Linked DNA regions of Diceros bicornis minor. The protein of the gene in region 1 purifies or fractionates together with the protein of each later gene. This does not show direct contact. Links are inferred from orthologs where the notes say so. Each region holds a gene or a part of one and is shown on either strand. Other genes may lie near its edges. The genes, in order: ARCN1 and COPZ1.

The links.
Region 2: the proteins of ARCN1 (region 1) and COPZ1 fractionate together in Homo sapiens (co-fractionation; 5 studies listed by BioGRID and IntAct, with this or other methods). This does not show direct contact. The link is inferred for Diceros bicornis minor from reciprocal best matches to the Homo sapiens genes ARCN1 and COPZ1.

The regions. Positions count from the first base shown.
Region 1 is NC_080746.1:18,319,329-18,329,494, reverse strand, and holds the start of ARCN1 (coatomer subunit delta), read left to right. Parts: upstream 1-6,365; 5' UTR 6,366-6,495; coding exon 6,496-6,498; intron 6,499-10,166. UniProt on the Homo sapiens protein: Component of the coatomer, a cytosolic protein complex that binds to dilysine motifs and reversibly associates with Golgi non-clathrin-coated vesicles, which further mediate biosynthetic protein transport from the ER, via the Golgi up to the trans Golgi network.
Region 2 is NC_080756.1:16,083,376-16,093,732, forward strand, and holds the start of COPZ1 (coatomer subunit zeta-1), read right to left. Parts: upstream 3,661-10,357; 5' UTR 3,615-3,660; coding exon 3,597-3,614; intron 1-3,596. UniProt on the Homo sapiens protein: The coatomer is a cytosolic protein complex that binds to dilysine motifs and reversibly associates with Golgi non-clathrin-coated vesicles, which further mediate biosynthetic protein transport from the ER, via the Golgi up to the trans Golgi network.

The DNA.
Region 1 (10,166 bases):
CAGGCTCAAATGTCACCACCTTAGGTCTTCCCTGACCACTCTATCAAAAGTAGATCCCACTCCTCACCATTATTCCTCATAACATCAAACTCTGCCTCCATCAATGCACTTACCACATTTGCAGTGATGTTTGTTTACTCATTTGTCATCTATCTCCCATGATTACAAGCATCAGGATGGCAGGGCAGGGTCAATGTCTCTTTTAATATTGTATACCTAGTGCCAAGCATGAGGCTGACACATAGTAGGCATTCAAAAAATGTTTGTTGAATAAATAATGATGTCAAGTCCTTTTAAAATATTCCACTGAGATTTTGATTGGAAGTGCAGGTTAAAGGCAGGTTATTGCAGCATCTTCAAAACTGAGCAAAACAGTTTTGATAAGTTAAAAAAAAAAACCATGAACCCCTGGCAGATTGTGAACAGAGAAAGTAAATGGTGATAGGGTACAGCGGACAGGTTAGAGGAAGATCCTGTATTCTGGATGGCTGTGTTTTCTCCCCTCTTAATTAGTTAGAAAACAGAAACAATGGCAAGTGAAGTAACTTGACTCTGAAAGCCAACATTTGCTATTATAAAATAGGAACTTCTTGAAGACAATCATGAATCCATCCTGCCCTTTGTTCTGAGAACCATTTCTCTTCTTTCCTCTTCATTCATTCCTCTCTTACCTTTGTGTCTTGGGGTTGGAGTATATATACTTGCAACCTCTTCAGAGTCGTTAATCTCTAGACGCTCATCGTATGTCTGGTTTTCAACAATCTTGGTCTAAGCAAAAGGAGACATGATTACATAGCTCATATCACGGGACGTTAAGCACTGTGGGGAGTACCGTTCCAAACCAGCATTGGTTCCTCTTCCTTACTCATGACACTAGTTTTACGCGAAACCTTCACCCCCATTCAAACTTTCCTTAAGGCTTCTTCGCCCCAAGTCAAGCAGTTAAGTCATTCTGCTGCAGCTCTTCATTTAGGAACTGCTGGCAGGCTGGCTAAGGAATGAGGGAAACGTGGAGGGAAACGACAGCCAACTTCTGCAGCAGCTCCTTAAAGCTGTAAGATACACAAGACCCCGCGCAAGGGCAGAACAGGATTCCTCTGTAGATGGCGGCTCTCTTCTCAGGTTCGATCGGTTTCCCCAAGGCTGTTGGGGTTTCTCAGGGGAGGCTGAAGAGGCTCTAGAAAGAGTTCTCTCTGGGATCACCCCGTGGCGGGGGTCGGGGGGAAGAGAGGGTAAACTCCAGTCTCTCGGTCCCAGCCAATAATCCCCAAAGCATCATCCCCATCTACACTCCCCGTCTTGCAGGTCGGATCCCACTTAAGTTTCTTGGGGAGTAAAGGAAGCAGTACGGTTGGTAGTGGCGTGAAGGAGGGAGAGAAAGAACAGCTGTTGAGATGGAAAGAGGTAGAGAGGGTTGGGGAGAGGGAAGGGGAGTCCTTTAAAATTCCTCTTGGGAGGGAGAAAGGGAATTCTCTTTCTGCTAGGGTGAGTACGAATTACCTGTAGCCCCTCTGAATCCGTCTCCCCTAGATGGAAAGAACCCCAGCCTAAGGCTGGAGTCTCACTCCAATCTCAGGCTAGGCCACTTGAGGGATTCCACTTGAAGCAACCGGCCTGTTGTCAGTCGCTAGGCAGGAAAAAAAAAATTCGCGAGACTTGCTTTCACTCTCGTGCGACCTTCTCCATTCACTTGCGCATTACGTCTCTTCCAGAGAAGGATCCGAGGAGGATCAAGAGGGACTCGGATAAAGCCTCTCTGGGAGATCAAGTCTCCTGTTTGTCTATGGTTTCAATAAATGCGTCTGTGGCGGCATCTAGCGGTCACGGGTGAAAAAGCGGGCTGAGGAATTTCGGTTCGTATAGTTAGCCCTCCAATCTGGAAATACCGCGTGCATTCCGGCCCCCCCCCCCCCCCCCCCCCCCGCCAAGGACCATTGGGCATGCAATTCCTACTAAATCAGTCTCATCAGAATTTAGGCAAAAATCTCCAGGGAATACTTTGTACGTCCTTTTATAGCATTTATATTATATTATAGTCCTTTCCCTCCACGATGTCCTGTTGCATGGGACATACGTTAACAAATCGTTGTTTATCTATCTGAGACTCAAATTTAACCCAGTGTCCTGTATTTTTATTTGCTAAAGAAGACTGAGCTTCCTTAGGGCACGGCCTGGGTCTAAATTTTTAACCTCTTCATAGTGTCAGTGTGTTGCATAAATTGGGCGCTTTAAAAATGCTGGTAAGGGCCGCCGGTCGCTTAGCGGTTAAGTGCCCATACTCTGCTGCTAGCTCCCCGGTTAGGGTCCCAGGCGCGCAAGGACTGACTGCTTCTCTGGCCTTGCTGAGGCCGCGTCCCACATACAGCAACTAGAAGGATGTGCAGCTATGACATACAACTATCTACTGGGGCTTTAGGGGAAAAAAATAAATAAACAAATAAAATTATTAAAAAAAAATGCTGGTTTTAAAAAATGCTCTTGGGTGGATGAATGAAGGAATGAGTGAATGAAGATGTAAGGAACAAATGTCCCAAAACTATAGACACAGTTAATTTTGGGAGTCAGAGAGAGAGAAACAAAGAAAGGAATATTGGAAATTTGACCCTGAAAACCTGTCAGGGGAAAGCGGGAAAGTGGTTTTAAAAAGAAAACAAGAGACACCACTTCTGAGACACTCTGGTTAAAAATGGAACTGCAAAACATTTAAAAAATTTTTTGTCATCTGTTATTGCTAATAATAATGGATATGTATTGTTAGTGCCATGGAATTGATTCAGGCTCCTAGCAACCCTGTGTACAGCAGAGCGGAACTCTGCCATGTCTTTTTGCACCATCCTCTCACCTTCCAGAGCTATATCAGACAATGCTCAGGGCTGCTATTCATAGGTGTGTGTGTGTGTGTGTGTGTGTGTGTGAGGAAGATTAGCCCTTAGCTAACATCTGTTGCCAATCCTCCTCTTTTTGCTGAGGAAGATTGGCCCTGAGCTGACATCTGTGCCCATTTTCCTCTACTTTATATGTGGAATGCCTGCCACAGCATGGCTTAATAAGCGGTGCAGTCTGTGCCGGGGATCCGAACCTGCAAACCCTGGGCCGCCGAAGCAGAGCGCATGAACTTAACGACTATGCCACTGGGCCAGTCGCTATTCATAGGATTTTCATTGCCAATTTTTTCAGAAGTGGGTAGCTAGGTCCTTCTTCTTAGTCTGTCTGTCTGGAAACTCTGCTGAAATCTGTCCACCATGGGTGACCCCACTGGTATTTGAAATACCGGTGGCATAGCTTTCAGCATCACAGCAACATTCAGCCACTATAGTATGACAACAGACAGACAGATGGTGTGGTTCCCAGTCAGGGAACATGGGCTGTGGCAGTGAGAGTGCCAAATCTTAACCACCACACCCTGTAGGAGCACTTAGATTATACAATTTTATTTATTAATATATTGTTTAACTTCACAACCTTATGAGATAGATGTTACTGCCAATTTACAGATTAGGTAACTGAGGCTGAGGAGAGTTAAAGCAACTTGCCTAAAGTCACTCAGCTAGTAAGTGCTGAAAATGGGAGTCAAACACAAGGCAGTCTAACTCCCAAGTCTCTGCTTTTAAAACCACTATGACTACTGCCTTTAAGGTGCTCCTCATGAAGCATGCTTGCAGGGTGCTTTTCTTCCACAGTTTAATTCAGCTACTATCATATTTCCAAAGAATCAGCATCAACTGGTCTTTCCTGAGCCTCGGTAGTCCATATTGAAGGCCCCTGGAAGCTGCCTCAATAAAGCAATAATTCCAGGCAGGATTTTTACTTTTTTTAAATTAAGAATTTGTTCATCTTTTTAAAAATACATGTGCTTCTTATAACAAAAATAAACAATACAGTTTGACATATATCCTTCCAGACATGCAAAGTTTAAAAATACATGAGCTTTGTAAAGATTCTACTAGAAAGTCATTGGAGATGGAATTGAAATGAGTAACAGTGAGAATTCTATAATGCCGTGCTTAAGGGTACAGGTTCTGAAGTTGAGCAGCCTTTGTTCGAATCCTGGCTTTGCTACTTTCTAGCTCTGAGACCTGTGGTAGAATAGCTTTCTTCTCTGTACCTTGGTTTCTCCACCTGTAAAATAGAGATATTAATGGTACCAATCTCAGAGAATTCTTGTGAGGATTAAATGAGATGATCTGTGTGAAGAATTTAGAGTAATGCCTGCTACCTTGTAAGTGGTCAATAAACATTAAGGAATACACAGGAGATATAGAGAGGCAGTGTGTCATAATGAGAAAAGCTGGGTTTGAACCCTGGCTCTACTACTTACTGGCTGTGTGAGTTTGGGCAAGTGCTTAACTTCTTTGATCCTCTGCCCTTATCTAGATTGTTATAAAGGAATAGGGATAACATATATAAAGTACCTGACATAAAATAAACACTCAATAAAAGATTGCTGCTTATCCATTATTGCAGCAATGGATGTGCTGCAGAGTCGAGCCAGTGATATAGGGAAGAACTGCTGAATCACATATTCTCTAAGTCTGACATTTGGCGTGGGAGAACTACCAACAGAATCAGAAGACTGGATTGGAGTCTTGTTTCCATTATATACTGGCCTACAACCTTGGGTAAATTGCTTAAACTTGTCATCATTTTCTTCATCTACAAAATGGACATAAGCACAGTAACTGCCCTGCTTCCCACACACATTTTTTAAAGATATAATTTACAAACTATAAAAATTCATCCTTTTAGGGGCCAGCCCAGTGGCCAAGTGGTTGGGTGTGCGCGCTCTGCTGCAGCGGCCCGTGGTTCACCGGCTTGGATCCTGGGCGCACACCGAGTACCACTTGTCAGGCCATGCTGTGGTGGCGTCCCATATCAAAGTGGAGGAAGATGGGCACGGATGTTAGCCCAGAGCCAGTCTTCCTCAGCAAAAAGAGGAGGATTGGCAGATGTTAGCTCAGGGCGGATCTTCCTCACACACACACAAAAAATCATCCTTTTAAAGTGTACAATTCAGTGGTTTTTAGTATATTCACAAAATTGTGCAACCACCACCCCTATCTAATTCTAGAACATTTTCATCACTCCAAAAAATAAACCTCACTCGCCATTCCTCTTCTCCTCCAGCCCCTTGCAGCCCTACTTTCTGTCTCTATATATTTGCCTATTATAGACATTTCACATAAATGGAATCATATAAGATGTGGTCTTTTGTGACTGGCTTCTTTCACTTAACATAACATTTTCAAGGTTCATACATGTTGTATAATGTATCAGCACTTTATTCCTTTTTATGATCGAGTAATAGTCCATTGTATAAATATACCACATTTTTTTATCCATTCATCTATTGATGGACATTTTGGATTGTTTCTACTTTTTGGCTATTATGAATAAAGTTTTATGAACATTAGTGTAGGATTTTTTGTGAGGTCTTATGTTTTTAATTCTCTTGGTATATATCAAGGACTGGAATTGCTGGATCATATAGTAACTATATGTTTAACTTGTTTTTTTTTGCTGGGAAAGGATCACCCTAAGCTAACATCTGTCGCCAATCTTCCTCTCTTTTTTTTTTTTCTCCCCAAAGACCCAAGTACATAGTTGTACGTTCTAGTTGTAAGTCTTTCTAGTTCTTCTACCTTAGCGGCTGTCACAGCATGGCAACCGACAGACAACTGGTGTGATTCTGCATCCAGGAACCCAACCCTATGCAAAGGGAAATTGCACAGAACTTTAACCACTAGGCAATCAGGGCTGTCTCTGTTTAACTTTTTGAGGCACTGCTAAACTGTTTCTGAAAGTGGTTGCACTATTTTACATTCACACCAGCGGTGTATGAGGATTCAAATTTCTCCATATTCTCATTGACATTTATTATTATTATAGCCATCCTAGTGGGTGTGAAGTAGTATCTCATCGTGGTTTTGACTTGCATTTCCCTAAGGACTAAGGATGTTGAGCATCTTTTTATGTGCTTATTGGTCATTTGTCTATCTTCTTTGGAGAAATGTCTGTTTTGTCCACTTGTAAATTGGACTATTTGTCTTTTCATTGTTGAGTAGTAAGAGTTCCTTATATATTCTGGATACTAGTCCCTTATGCACACAGGTTATTTTGTATGTTAAATGATATAGTGGCTGTGAGATCTTTATAAACTGTAAGAGGTACCACAAACTAAATGAAAGCTCTGACGAACGGTGAAAAGACAGAAGTATGAAGTTCCACGGCTTGGGGGGCGAAGCCCCTTGCATCCTTGGCGAACCAGCCGGTACCCACAATTTCCCCACCCCACGGCGCCCCGCCCTCCGCCCTTTGACCCGCGCCGTTTCCGGTTGGAGACGTGGCTCCAGGCCGCCATCTTGGCAAGAGGCGAAGCGGCAGCGGCCCCTGTCAGGGGGGTAGCAGGTCTGGAGCGGCTGGTACTGCCCTTCCCCTGACCCTAGCGCTATCCGCAGTGGAGCCGGAGCGCAGGTGCGCACCACCACCGCCCTCACCATGGTAAGTTCCGAGCCGGGTCCAACTCCCGGGGTCTGGCCTTGCTCGCTCGCTCTCCCTGCCGGACGGCTTGGTGCTGGGGCCACAGGAGCCCCGCCCCGAGGGCCTGCAGCCGGGCGCTTCCCTCAGGGCTGGGGGAGCGGCGTGGCCTTGCCCACCCTGTGCCGGGCCTCCCGGGAGATCCGATGGACCCGGCTCCAGTCCCTGTGTCGTCGCGCGCACACCCCCCTCCCGCCCCCGCCCAAACAGCTGGGACCCTCCGGGCCCTGGAACGGGCTTGGGGTTTTTGCGCTGCGAGAACCTCGTAGTGGTGTCGCTTGGACCCCATGCTGCGGCCTTCGGCGCTAATGTCCCGCCCGTTCCATGGGCGCCTGGGCTTAGCAGGCTGGGCCTCTCTCGGGGATTAGCTTCCTTCTGTAATCAGCTCTCCTCCCATCCCCGGTGTTCCGTAGGACATTGATACTCGAACTCCAAATCCATTGGTGTTCAGGACTTTTTCTTTTGTTTGTGAAAGGGGGAAATAGATGAAAGGAGGCATAAAACAGGAAGGAGTACCTTCTAACACTAATCTGTAGGACCCAACTGTCCCTGAAACCTTGCACTGCTTCTCCAGAATTTAGGTGTGTCCTTTTGTCAGTGGATTAAGTATACCCTGTGTATAGAGCACTGGGCAAATGTGAGCGAGTTAGAGAAAACACAGGCTGTCCTCAAGGAACTTACTGTTCCGGTAAAGTAAAATGTGTATGTGGCGTATCGTGATCAGATGTCTCACAGGAGCAGTAGAAACGGGTTATACTCTGGGACCTCTTACTTGGCTTCAAATGCGTTATCTTTGTGTTCTCATCTATTGTAGGGAAAAATTAACGTGGGTGAGGATGGGACAAAACAGTGCTGACTCCACTAAATCTTATTTTATCACTACAATTAGTGGATATTTATGAAGTAGGAGAAAATCTTTGGCTCCAAACGAGCTAGTAATTTATTTTTTAGTGAACTTTATGCCCTTCAGTGTTTTGAAGGATGTTCTTTTCTTTTTTTATTCTCTTTTTGTCAATAGATTAATAATTTGATTTAAAGCATTTTCCTGCACACTTGAGAGATGACAATATAATTTGGTGCCAGTAATGTTAAGTTCTATTGACAACGTTTTTTAGATGAGAACTTAGATGGTGGGGGGGATTCATGCTTGGGCTTAAAACCACTGAAAGGTTTTTTTCAGCTTCAGGCATATAAATTTTGTCAAGCAGGATTACCTCATAAAACTTTTACGTTGGACATAAAATTTCCAAAAACTCCTTTTTTCATTTTCACTAGGAGGCTTAGTATTTGGATAGTGATTTTTAAACTCCTTTTTGGATGTTTTTTACATCTTGGATGTATCTGTAGTGCATTTTAGAGCATGTTATAATTTTAATAGCGAAATTAAAGCCTTATATAAACCAAATATAGATAATCTTTACAAAAACTTTGTATGTTGAAAAGTTCTTGGAACTTAGTATTTTTAATTCATCGATAACTGCGGAATGGTAAAGCCCTAGGTGTTGACTGATAAACATAAAATATAAATTTTGTGTGTTACTCGGACACGTGCATATACATACAGTTGTGTCATATTTAGATATGCATATCTTTTTGAATTATTTAGGACTTGGCATGATCCAGATATCACAGATTTGTGTACTCTAGAGAACAGCTTATCTCAGTACATTCTGCTCTGTTGAATCTTAAGACGTTATTAAGTGTTATTGCTGTGTAATGTTTTTGGGCCCTATTCCTTTAGGAAGAGATCCCTGGACAGTAGAAACGTCCAAATAGGGTGACATTTGGTAAGATTTCTTGCATCTAAAAGTTGTATCAAAACTCCTGAAAGTTGATTTTTCCTTCACATTTTAGTATAAAATTTTCAAACATCTAGAAAAGTTGAAAGAATTTTACAGTGAACACCAATATAACCACCAGCTAGATTCTGTAATTAACATTTCACTATACTTGTTTTTCTCACACATCTAATCATCCATCCATTCTTCTATCCATCCTTTTTTTTAATGCATTTCAGAGTTAAGTTTCAGCTATCAGTACATAAATATTGATTTTTGAAAAATTTCCTTTACCTTTAGTTACTGAAATTCGTGCAAAATGTCCTACCTTGTGAAGTCCTAGTAGAGAAATAAATGAACAAATGCAAAAAGAAATGGCTTATGATGACTTTGTTATAAAATGAAGTACAAAAAAAGGCATCTTTTTTCTAGTTTTCTGCAAATTAATGAGAACATATTCTTATTTTCCTAATTTGTCAGATATCGTTAGAATCAGTTCTTTTTCTTAGTAAACTTACATTCGAATAAACTTGATATTTAGTCTCATGGTAGCACCAATCTGTAAAATCTTTGCTTATCTACAGAGTGCTGTTCTTATTTACTACTATAGGCAATGAGTAAACTTACTGTAGTGGTCAGATTAAATATAAATGATCCCAGTAAGTTCAGTTTCCAAAAGTCATTAGTTATTAGAAAGCTAGATTTGGGTTTGTATGGCAGATCTACACATGACGGGAGAAACTGAAATTCTACACAGTCATAACAGTTCCCAATTAGGGGATTATTATTGCTTGTTTTTTCCCTTTTTCATGTACAATACAGCAGCTGCACAGCTATTGTATTTTTTATTTATCTTTTTGATTGTTGTTTGAAAGGACAGCAAAGAATGAAAATGATTTTTTTGAGTTTTCCTTGATGGCCGTCTATTTATTCTCTGAGTAGGAAGTACACTGCAGAAAGTGAGAACTATGTCCATTTATTTTTATTCACTACAAGCTTGTGTTTTAGAACAGAAACTTGTGATAAGCTTAAAACTCTCACTGAGTAACTTTTCAAGTTTTAGGTTTTGTCTGTGGTCTAGATTTTATTGTAATCTTCCCTCTGATTTTATCTGTAATTAGTTCATGCAAACAGGAAAGATAAAATTGTCTCCTATGACAGTTGTAGAAACTAGCGTTAATATGATCATGAATTTTATATATTTATATAATCATTACAGTGAGTTACAAAGGAGAAAGTGACTGGTTAATTCGGGAAGTAAAGAATTCTGAAGCATTAGGGGTTCAAGAAAGTCGTTGACTTTTTTCTTTAGGGAATTGTGCGTGTTTATTCTGAATTACTACTCGTTATTCTTGGACCTCTATCACTAGTGGGCATGAAGGGATGATGTGGCAGCTATGTCACATGTGTATAGCCATATGTTGCTTAACGATGGGGATATGTTCTGAGAAGTGTGTCATTACACGATTTCGTCCTTGTGCAAACATCATAAAGTGTACTTACACAAACCTAGATGGTATTGCCTACTACATACATAGGCTATATGGTACTAATCTTATGGGACCACCGTTGTACATGCAGTCTGTCATTGACTGAAACATCCTTATGAGGGACATGACTGTGCTGTACACACACATGATTTGTTTTGGTTAGGCAGTTTGCCTTCTAGCAGCTTAATATTAACATAAAATGTGGTCCAAAGCAGTTACCACTGGAGCAGTGAGTGTGAAATGGAGGTATTGTACATTTTCTTTTGCTGTAAAGTCTTCAGGTGCTTAGAGTTACAGAATCTTAAAGATGTGAAGGCACTTTAGATTTCATATAAACTAACCTGTATTTTAGGGATAATTATTA
Region 2 (10,357 bases), on another chromosome or scaffold:
AGTTTCCTCCTCTATATACACACATGCTGTTGTGCACTTTGGATGCCCTGGTTTTTGAATGAGGCTTACAATTCGGGATTTGGTCATTGTTTTAGGACAAAAATGTTATTAAGGGGAGAGAAAGGACAGAGTTAAGTCTAGTCCGTAAAGCAATGGAAAAACACTCAGCAAGTGAATCCAGAGAGGATTAGGAAAAATGAAACCTATGAGGAAAGATTTAAGAATCTAGACTGCTACAGTAATTCCACTTTGAGAAAAAAAGGTAAAGGGGAAGGGAAGAAGGGGATAGTCATTATCTTTAAGATTCCTGGGTTATTAATGGAGAATGGTGACCTGCAGAGATCTCTCTCCATTCACAACTAAGAAAGGGAGAACCAGCAGAAAACAGCAGGAGAGGGGAAGCTGAGTCCACAGATGCAGGCTGGGAGCATTATTATTAAGCATTGGGAATGAAGGAGATGAAAGGGTCTCTTCCCTTAGAGACTATAAGGAGAACTGAGAAAGATTAGACAAATCTGCTTGAAAAGCTAGGGCAAGATTACTTAATTCAAGAAAGAAAGGTAGGGCCGGCCCCGTGGCTTAGCGGTTAAGTGCGCGCGCTCCGCTGCTGGCGGCCCGGGCCGTCCCGGGCGCGGACCGACGCACCGCTTCTCCGGCCATGCTGAGGCCGCGTCCCACATACAGCAACTAGAAGGATGTGCAGCTGTGACATACAACTATCTACTGGGGCTTTGGGGGAAAAAATAAATAAATAAAATTAAAAAAAAAAAAGAAAGAAAGGTGACCCATTGTAAAGTACCTAAATGAAGGGAACCTACTGGTATTTAGAAATTCCCATAATCGGATCAAATTTCGATTGATGGTTCTTCTTGACCCCCTTCTAGCTTACCCTTCCCTTCTTCTCAATGTCCTATGGCTGTGTGCCTTGCAGAGGTGAGGATAGAAAAATATGCTTTGATCAGATTTCCTCAGAGGTCCAGCCAAACCAGGAAATAGAAATGTGAAAGAAGGAAGCCTAAAGGAATTTTAGAAGGTGTCTGTCCTCTCTAAAGAGTGGCTTGGTAAGCACCATCTGGGCACAGTAAACTCTTTAGTTCAGTAGAGAGGTAAGGTAAGATCCAGGGATTCCTCATACTTTTCATAATGAAGATGGTAACCTAAGAATAAGGAGATGCTGCTGAGTTGACAGACGAAGGGATGCGATTAAAAGGAGCAGTGAGGAAGGGTGATTCTGTATCAGATGGAGCTAAATTTTGTAGGCCAGCATGTGAGTCTAGTGAGAAGAGAAATAAAAATTCAGGAAATATCACCTGATTCTCAACTAGGGTTCCTCATATGAACGACCGAAAATTATTTAAATTATTTTCTCGCTTCTCCCATGGGCGGTACGAAACTAGTGCCTTTGTGGATACAGAGGAAAGAAGTTGACTCATAACACACAATGAATGCCTTAGGGCATTAAGGCTTAATTCTCTCCCGGAACTCCAGTTGAGAAGGGCTGGAATGGTGAGAAAGGTATATAAATTCTGCGGGCCAGAGGACGGCCTGGTGGCACAGCAGTTAAGTTCATATGCTCAGCTTTGGCGGGCCAGCGTTGGCAGGTTCGGATCCCGGGGGCAGACCAACGCAACGCTTGTCAAGCCATGCTGTGGCGTCATCCCATATAAAGCAGAGGAAGATGGGCACAGATGTTAGCCCAGGGCCAACAGTCCTCAGCAAAAAGAGGAGGATTGGCAACAGATGTTAGCTCAGGGCTAATCTTCCTCACACATGCACACAAAAATTCTGCAGCCTCAAAATATATTCAAATTGTAAAGAGCAAAAAACAAAAAATGTTGGACAGAACCAACACAGAGGAAGGAAAATACTAGTTGAATATCCTAAGAATCCTGGAGACCAGCACAAGAACTGATACCTGTTGGCACTTCGTCCCCAACAAAAGCTTTATGTAACTGATGGATGAAAGTACAATTTTGCATATAGAAGAGGTGGAAAGCCCATGGTGTGCTATCATCAGAGAGGGACTTGCTCTGGGACGATTAGGAACCAGAATCTAATCCTAATTTTGACACTGTGCTTCCTTGAGCAAGCTCTTTTCCCTATACCTGGGTTTCCCCTAACCCTATTACATAGGTTCCTCACAACAAAGAATCAGTATGGTTTTTAAAGCAAAGTTCAGGGGTACCTGACCCGGTTAGCAAGGATCTGTGAATGCGGCATCTTAGGTACAGATCAAAATGCATATTAGGAAGAAGCAAGAAATAGACTTCACTGAGGAAGCAGAGACAGAGAACTGAGGTCAAAGAAAATGTGACCGACAGACTTTCACATATAACTCCCTCAACTCACCACAACACACAGATCCCTTGTTAAAAGGGCTCCCCAAGTATCATCTCTCTCACTCTTTTACCTCTAAGCAGGTTCCCTTCTAAACAGATGTAGGGAGCAGTCTAAAAATTTCTAAAAACTTCCAAAGAAATCAATTCCCTAGAATTTCTCCCAGTCTGCTAACTGTTTAAGAATACTGGTTAACTGCCTGGTATAGAAAATATCTTACTAAAAACTACTCACATTTTAAGCTTTCTATCTAGACTTGACTAACCCATATGACGAGAAGGAATTATCTCTATCTTTGCCATTTTGAAAGAGGGGAATTAAACCCGTATTCTCTTTACCTGTTGAGGATCTGAATGTGTACATGTATTAGAGCTGAAGGAAAAAAAAAAGACAGGAAAGAGGCCTCGAGTTCAACTCAAGGAAGGAGCTGGAAGCTAAACTCCTACACAGAGGTGTGTTAACAACCTCAAATTGCAAAACAGGGCCCTTTTGAGAGAAATGCTCTGGTCCAGTTCTAAAGAAGGAGTTATTCTATTTGTTTAAACAAGCAAAAAGGATCATATGGACAAGGGAGCTAATACACCCCTTTAGCCACCAAAATTCTCATATAACCAGAGGGCGAGTTAGCATCCCAGATCCTACAATAAGAATTCCTAAGGTTTAAATGGGGGAGGGAAAAGGAGAACAGAATAAGGAGTCTGGAAAAATATTCCAAATCCACGCTAACTCTATCAGGTATTCCAGAACTTGGATGGAATACTGATTCTTCATCATGACAAATCCACATAAAAGGGATAAACTGAAGTAAAAAGAAAACAGTTTCTTGACGGAATGATCAACACAGAGTCAAACCATCAGGAGGAGCCTGTGATGACAAACACCTGCCCTCTATTATTACAATTTGGGGCGAGTTTGGAGGTTTGGGGAAACTCAAATCAGGGTATCATCCACAATGCTCAGAATCAGGGGGAACCTGAAGGACCCCAATCCACTGCGCTTATGATCCTATGTGTCTCAAAGAGTCCACGTGCTCCCTTCAACTTTCCACCGACTCTGCCCTCTCCCCGGCGGAGCTTTCTACTCTAAACCGAGGCTTTAGCTCCTGCGCTAGGCCACACGCTTATTCCACAGGCCGGCAGAACCTTCGGTCCCCGAGGATTACCCGGAACTCCTCTTTCTCCCCACTCCCAGTCAAGTTGAACCCCTACTCCCGGCCCCTGTGGACACCGCAGTATCCCAGCTGCCCCCCCGGCTCCTACCAAAATCAGCGCCTCCATCTTGCCCCGCAGCCGGTGCCGACGTGGAGCCGCAAAAGCAACGCCGCCGCTGATTGGCCCTACGCCCTCATGAGGCGCCGCCCAGGATGGGGGTTATTGGACTACCAGGTGCCAGCTATTGCTCTACTGACCAATCAGTGTACTAGCTTGCTTAGCGGAAGCAAGGCGCCCAACCAGAAGGCGCAAGTATTTGATTGTCAGTTTAAACACTCAATAAAACGCCAAAACCTCAAGCCTGAACGGGGCGGGAGGGCCAGTGGGGCGGGGTTGTTTCCATGGGGAACAGGGGAAGCGATTATTAATTTTCGATTGGCTGGGCGAAGGGCATGTGATACCTCCCGTCTGATTTAGCAACTTTAATCCGCACTCCCTTTAGGGGGCGCTGTGTCTCTTTAGCCCTTAACACTGGCAGCGCCTGAGAGAATCCTACCCTAATCCCCATTCCAAGAGCCCCCGTTAGGTCCCTGATATCCATGGTTGCTTTGGCCAACAATGCTAGCTCTCCCCTCAGACTCTCTCAGGTCACTTCAGCAACCTCACAGCAAGTCTGCACAACCATAGAGTAAAGCCAAGAGATGCCCAGCATGTTAACTAGATAAACCAAGGCCACCAGAGGTTGATTGCTGGAGTAACGATCTCCCCATTGTGGTGTTCCTGGCTTTGCTGGGCCCAGGGAAGGACAAGCAGCCAGTGAGTTTCTAAAAACAGATTTTCTTTGGCCGGACGTGAAACGGGATGTTAGAACTTTGGAGACCGAAGAGGAAAGAGTAGGAGGGACAAAGGGGTAAAGGGTCCAGGATAAAGGAGGGTATAGGGAGCAGGGTCTGCGGTTTTCCAGTAGGGACAAGCCGTTGCAAAAACGAGAAAAGAGAAGTTTACCGAATGCAGGGATTTCACAATAGGGAAGGGCTTTGATAAAGTTTAGCTTTCACCTACCTCTCGGTTCCTTGGTCCCCAATCCCCCTTAGATCAGGGACACCTTCTGTTGCCTTATATTATCTCCAAAGTGTTTGTGTTTTTTTTTCCCCCCATCTCTGACAATTATGTCTTTAGGAGCCCTCCAAGAAGGGCATCAAAACGAGGAATTTTTCTAATAATTTCAGAGTAGAGTTAGAGGACCTAAGAAAAAAGTATAGAACAATACAAAACAAACTACAGAGCTAACATATGCTATGAAGGAAAGTATATGACTTTCTGGTGAAGTCACAGGTGACAAGCCTCATATCTGGAAGAAACAAGGGCTTAGCCTTTATCTATTCTGAATGGGGAGTTATTCCAGCATTTAGCACTGTGCCTGGCATCACAAGGTTGTCCTTGGCTTGCTAGCTTAATATTAACATTTATTGACCACTTACTATGTGGCAGGCACATGCTAAATCTTTGAATACACTATTTAAAATATGTTTAAAACCCTTATGAAGTAGATGGTTATTACTCCCATTTTACGGATGAGAAAAGTGGAGCTCGGAACAGTTAAATAATTTACTTAAGGCCATACAACTATTAACTGGCATCCTTACATTTGAGCATAGGAGGTCTGGTTCTAAAGCCATGTTCTTACCCACAATCCACTCCTCTGACTTGTGGTATAGCCTCTCTTTCGTCCCGGTCCTACCTGAAGTACCCTACACCAGAGCCAGATGTTCTAGAGGGACCATGAGGAGGAAAAATGTGTGATGTGGTTGGTTGGGGAGGAGGGGACTCCTCTTTCTTTGATTGTGGAGTAACTGACAAATTTTAACAGTCAGCCATTGTTCCAGAAAATGGCTGATTCTTAGCTCTCCAGCCTATTGAGTAACTATGGGGAGTTAGTGGTGAGGAGAAGACAACTAGCTGAATCGGAAATATTCTTGTCATGACTTTGCCTTAATAAGTGGGAGACTTCTGGCAAGTCCTTGTACCCTCTCTGGACTACAGCTGCCACTTCTGGAAAATGGGGAGGCTCAGACCAGAGTTTTCTAAGGCCCTACCTAGTGTTCAAGTTCTGTGATCATTCCTGCTCCTTTTGTTTCCATCTTCCCTTCACCTGGAAAACCTTCAAGAACCAATCAAACGTAAAATGCATATGTTCCCTCTCCCTCTCTCCCTCTCTCTCCCTGTCTCTGTCTCTGTCTCGCTCTATGTATTTATATGTATACACACATAATATAAAACCATGTATATATGGTTACAAACAATTTATTAAAAATGAGTGGAGGAAAAGACTGAAAGGAAACACAACAAAATGTAACCAGTGGCTGTTTTGAAGTAGTAGGACTTTTTTCAGTGTTTCCATATTTTTCCAGGTATTCTAAAATGTGTGGGTGCTATTTTAAAAGGAGAAAAATAGGGCCGGCCCCGTGGCTTAGCGGTTAAGTGTGTGCGCTCCGAGCTAGCACCGACGCACCGCTTCTCCGGCCATGCTGAGGCCGCGTCCCACATACAGCAACTAGAAGTGTGTGCAACTATGACATACAACTATCTACTGGGGCTTTGGGGGAAATAAATAAATGAAATTTTAAAAAATAAATAAATAAAAGGAGAGAAATGAGCTATTTTTTAAAGAACAAAATCAACATCTTCTTCTCATGAAGCCTTCCCTGATGTCCCAGGTGGAGTTGGACACTTTCTCCTTGCTGCCATCGTTTACGGTCGTAGGCATTTTGTAAGACATCAACATAACACCAGACTTGCCATCTGAGGCAGTGCCTTGTCCCATACATTTGTGTGTGTGTGTATGTGTGTGTGTATGTGAGGAAGATCAGCCCTGAGCTAATATCTGCTGCCAATTCTCCTCTTTTTGCTGAGGAAGATTGGCCCTGAGCTAACATCTGTGCCCATCTTCTTCTACTTTATATGGGACGCTGCCACAGCATGGCTTGACAAGTGGTGCATGGTGCGAGCCCGGGATCCGGGCCTGCGAACCCCGGCCACCGAGCCGAGCAAGTGCACTTAACCGCTACGCCACTGTGCTGGCCCCTGTCCCATTCATTTTATTTCCCTAGCACCTAGCCCTCAAACGGTAAATCCTCAAACAGTAAGTGTTTACTGAATGGAATGAATATTTGTAAAAATGCAAGATACAAAGATGAATGAGCAGTGTCAAAGGGCAGTTCAGGGTTAAATATCAAGAGGCACAGATACTGAGGAGGGAGTGATCCCTGAGGATGGGAGCTGGGGGAGGTCAAGGTCTAAGAGAAGAGGGTGAGTTAGGCCTTGATTCATTCATGCATTGATTAAATGACAGGTGGAGTTTGGTAGGAATAAAGGTATGGAGGTTGGGATGTGTAAGGAATCTTTTTTTTTTTTTACTTTTTAAATTGTAAAGTAAAAAAATATTTTATTTAGTGTTATACACAACATAAAATTTACCATTTTAACCATTTTAAATGTGCAGTTCAGTGGCCTTAAGCACATTGTTATGCAATCATCACCACTATCCCTCTCCAGAACTTTTTCATCATCCCAAACTGAAACTCTGTACCCATTAAACAATAACGCTCGGTTCTCCCCTCCCCCATAGACCTTAGTAACCACTAGTTTACTTTCTGTCTCTACGAATTTAACTGTACTTGTACCTTATATAAGTGGAATCATATAATATTTGTCCTTTTGTGTTTGGCTTATTTCACTTAGCATAATGTCTTCACAGTTGTGTAAGAAATCTTTGAGGGATTGATTTCATAGCACAGAGGATTGAAATAAAGAAATAGGGAAGAGGATGGAGTAAAACTGGAAAGGTACTTTGTGGCCAGATTGTGAAATGCCTTGAATGCAAACCTAAGTAGTGGGACCAGATGACCATGGGAGTTGGAGCTTACACTCTTGGAAAGTGTTATAGCAACATCCTATAAAATTAAACATGGGTACATCCCCTCCTAGAAATTAAAAACATAACCCAGTACATAGTGATACATATATAAGAATGCTTATTGCAACATTGCTTACAATAGCAAAAAATAACATTATTGTCTATCAATAGGAGGATAGTTGAACAGATTATTTTACATCCAGACTGTGGAGTAATATGCAACTAATAAAAAGGAATGTTAAGCCATATGCTTTAACCTGGAGAAATGGTAATGGCATGATTTTTTTGGTTTGTTTGTTTGTTTGTTTAATTTTATTTATTTTTTTCCCCCCAAGCCCCAGTAGATAGTTGTATGTCATAGCTGCACATCCTTCCAGTTGCTGTACGTGGGACACTGCCTCAGCATGGCTGGAAAAGCGGTGTGCCGGTGCGCGCCTGGGATCCGAACCCGGGCCGCCAGCAGCAGAGCACGCACACTTAACCGCTAAGCCGTGGGGCCGGCCCAGGTAATGGCATGTTAAATGAAGAAAAGTATGTTGCAGGGGCTGGCCCCATGGCATAGTGGTTAAGTTTGCGCATTCCGCTTCGGCGGCCCGGGGTTCACAGGTTCAGATCCCGGGAGTGGACCTACACATCGCTCATCAAGCCATGCTGTGGTGGCGTCCCATATATAAAATAGAGGAAGATGGGCACAGATGTTAGCTCGGGACTAATCTTCCTCACCAAAAAAAAAAAGTGGTCAAGAAGGGGACATTTGATAAATACCTGAAAGGAGAAGGAGAATGAATCATGCGGATATTTGGGAGACGAGCATTCTTGGCAAATACAACATAGAGTACAATGTGGAAGAAAGATATTAATATATGTTACCTAGATGGGGAGATGGAAAAAGTGGATTATTAAACAATTTTTCTTTATATACGTTGGTATAGTTTGACTTTGTTACAATAAGCATGTGTTTATGTTTAAAAACTAATAAACACAAAAGTTAGTGTCAAAATGGGGATAAAGTTGTGAGGATTAAGTGAGATAATATGTGTAAAAATATGTGTAAACTGTTAAATGCTCTACCGTTGTTATTTGTTATCTTATAAATAATTGGAAACCATTGAACACTTCTGAGCAAAGACATGAGATTATGAAAGCATTTTTTAATTGAAGGTAAATTCATATGACAAAAATTAACTATTTTAAAGTGTACAATTTGGTGGCGTTAAGTACATTCATAATATTGTGCAACTACCACGTCTATCTAGTTCCAAAACATTTTCATCACCCCCAAAGAAAACCTGGTACCCATTACACAACCACTCCCAATTTCCCCCTCCCCAAACTCCTGGCAACCACCGATTTGCTTTCTGTCTCTATGAATATTTCAAATAAATGGAATCATATAATATGTGACCTTTGCCATCTGGCTTCTTTCACTTAGCAGAATGTTGTCAAGGTGCATCCATTTTCTAGCATGTATCAGCATTTTATTCCTTTTCGTGGCCATATAATTTTCCACTGCTCAGTATACCCTGTTTTGTTTGTCCATTCAATTGATGGACATGTTTGGATTTTTTCTACCTTCTGGCTATTGTGAATAGTGCTGCTATGAACATTTGTGTAACAAATATTTGAGTACCTGTTTTCAGTTCTTTTGGATATATACCTAGGAGTGGAATTGCTAGGTCATATGGTAATCCTATGTTTAACTTTTTGAGGAACCGCCAAACTATTTTCCACAGAAGCTGTACCATTTTACATTCCCAGCAGCAAGGTATGAGGATTCTAATTTTTCCACATCTTCACTAACATTTATTATTTTTCTTTTTTTTTTTTTACAGCCATCCTAGTTGGTGTGAAATGGTGTTTCATTGTGGTTTTGATTTGCATTTCCCTAATGACTAATGATTTGAGCATCTTTTCATGTGCTTGTTGGCCATTTGTGTATCTTCTTTGGAGAAATGTCTATTCAAGTCATTTACCCATTTTTTAATTGGGTTATTTGTCTTTTTGTTGTTGAGCTCTAAGAGTTCTTTATATATTCTGGATACTAAAACTTTATCAGATATATGAGTTGCAAGTATTTTCACCTGTGTGTATGGAAGAAATTTTAATATGATTAATTTGACAACTGTGTGTGTAGGAAGGATTGGAAGAGAGGTGGAAGGCAGAAAGATCAACTAGGAAGCCATTGCAGTTCTTCAGGCTGCAGTGAACACAAAACGGTAACAGGAAATGCCCCCCAAAGATTGTGTACCACAAGTGAAATTAGGAAAAGTCAGAGAGTAATGGATGAGATCACCCACGTGTAGAAGTAGCAAATGACCTGGTGTAGTTTCAGAAAAGCATAATTCTATCAAAATATCTAAAGCTCTAGCAGTCTAATCACTTAAAGTAAAATGGCTGGAGCCCTAACACAATCAAACGCTAACCCAATCAAGTATAATAAAATGGCTGAAGTGAACAGGAACCGAATCCATTGTGTTAACTTGGCTGGAGCGGAAACCCAATCAGTTGAATTGTACCTGGTCTTCACAGAAGGGGGAGATACAATCCCTCCTCCCCAACCAAAACAACAGAAATGTTGTCAATATGTCTCCAGTGACATTTAGGGAAGAAGATTTCCTGTTTGGCTGGCACAAGTGAATCTTATACATTTATAAAGGAGATGGATGCAGTTCTATTAGCCATTAAAATTTTCTAACTAATTCCACTTGTTCACTAAGCAACCTTCTAATTATCATATTTGTCTTCTTCCAAAATCGTCAACTATTTTGATCAGCCAATAGGATTGTCTTGGCTACTGTGAGTTTTATGTAGAACTATGTAAATCAACCATGTGGCTTATATATCATGCTCTTTTAAGTTTGTTCAGCATAAGTGAGTTCTCCCAAGATGAATTAATTGACCAAAATCAACTTCTGGGCCTTCAAGCTGAGGCTCAGATCCAGAAGAAAAATCA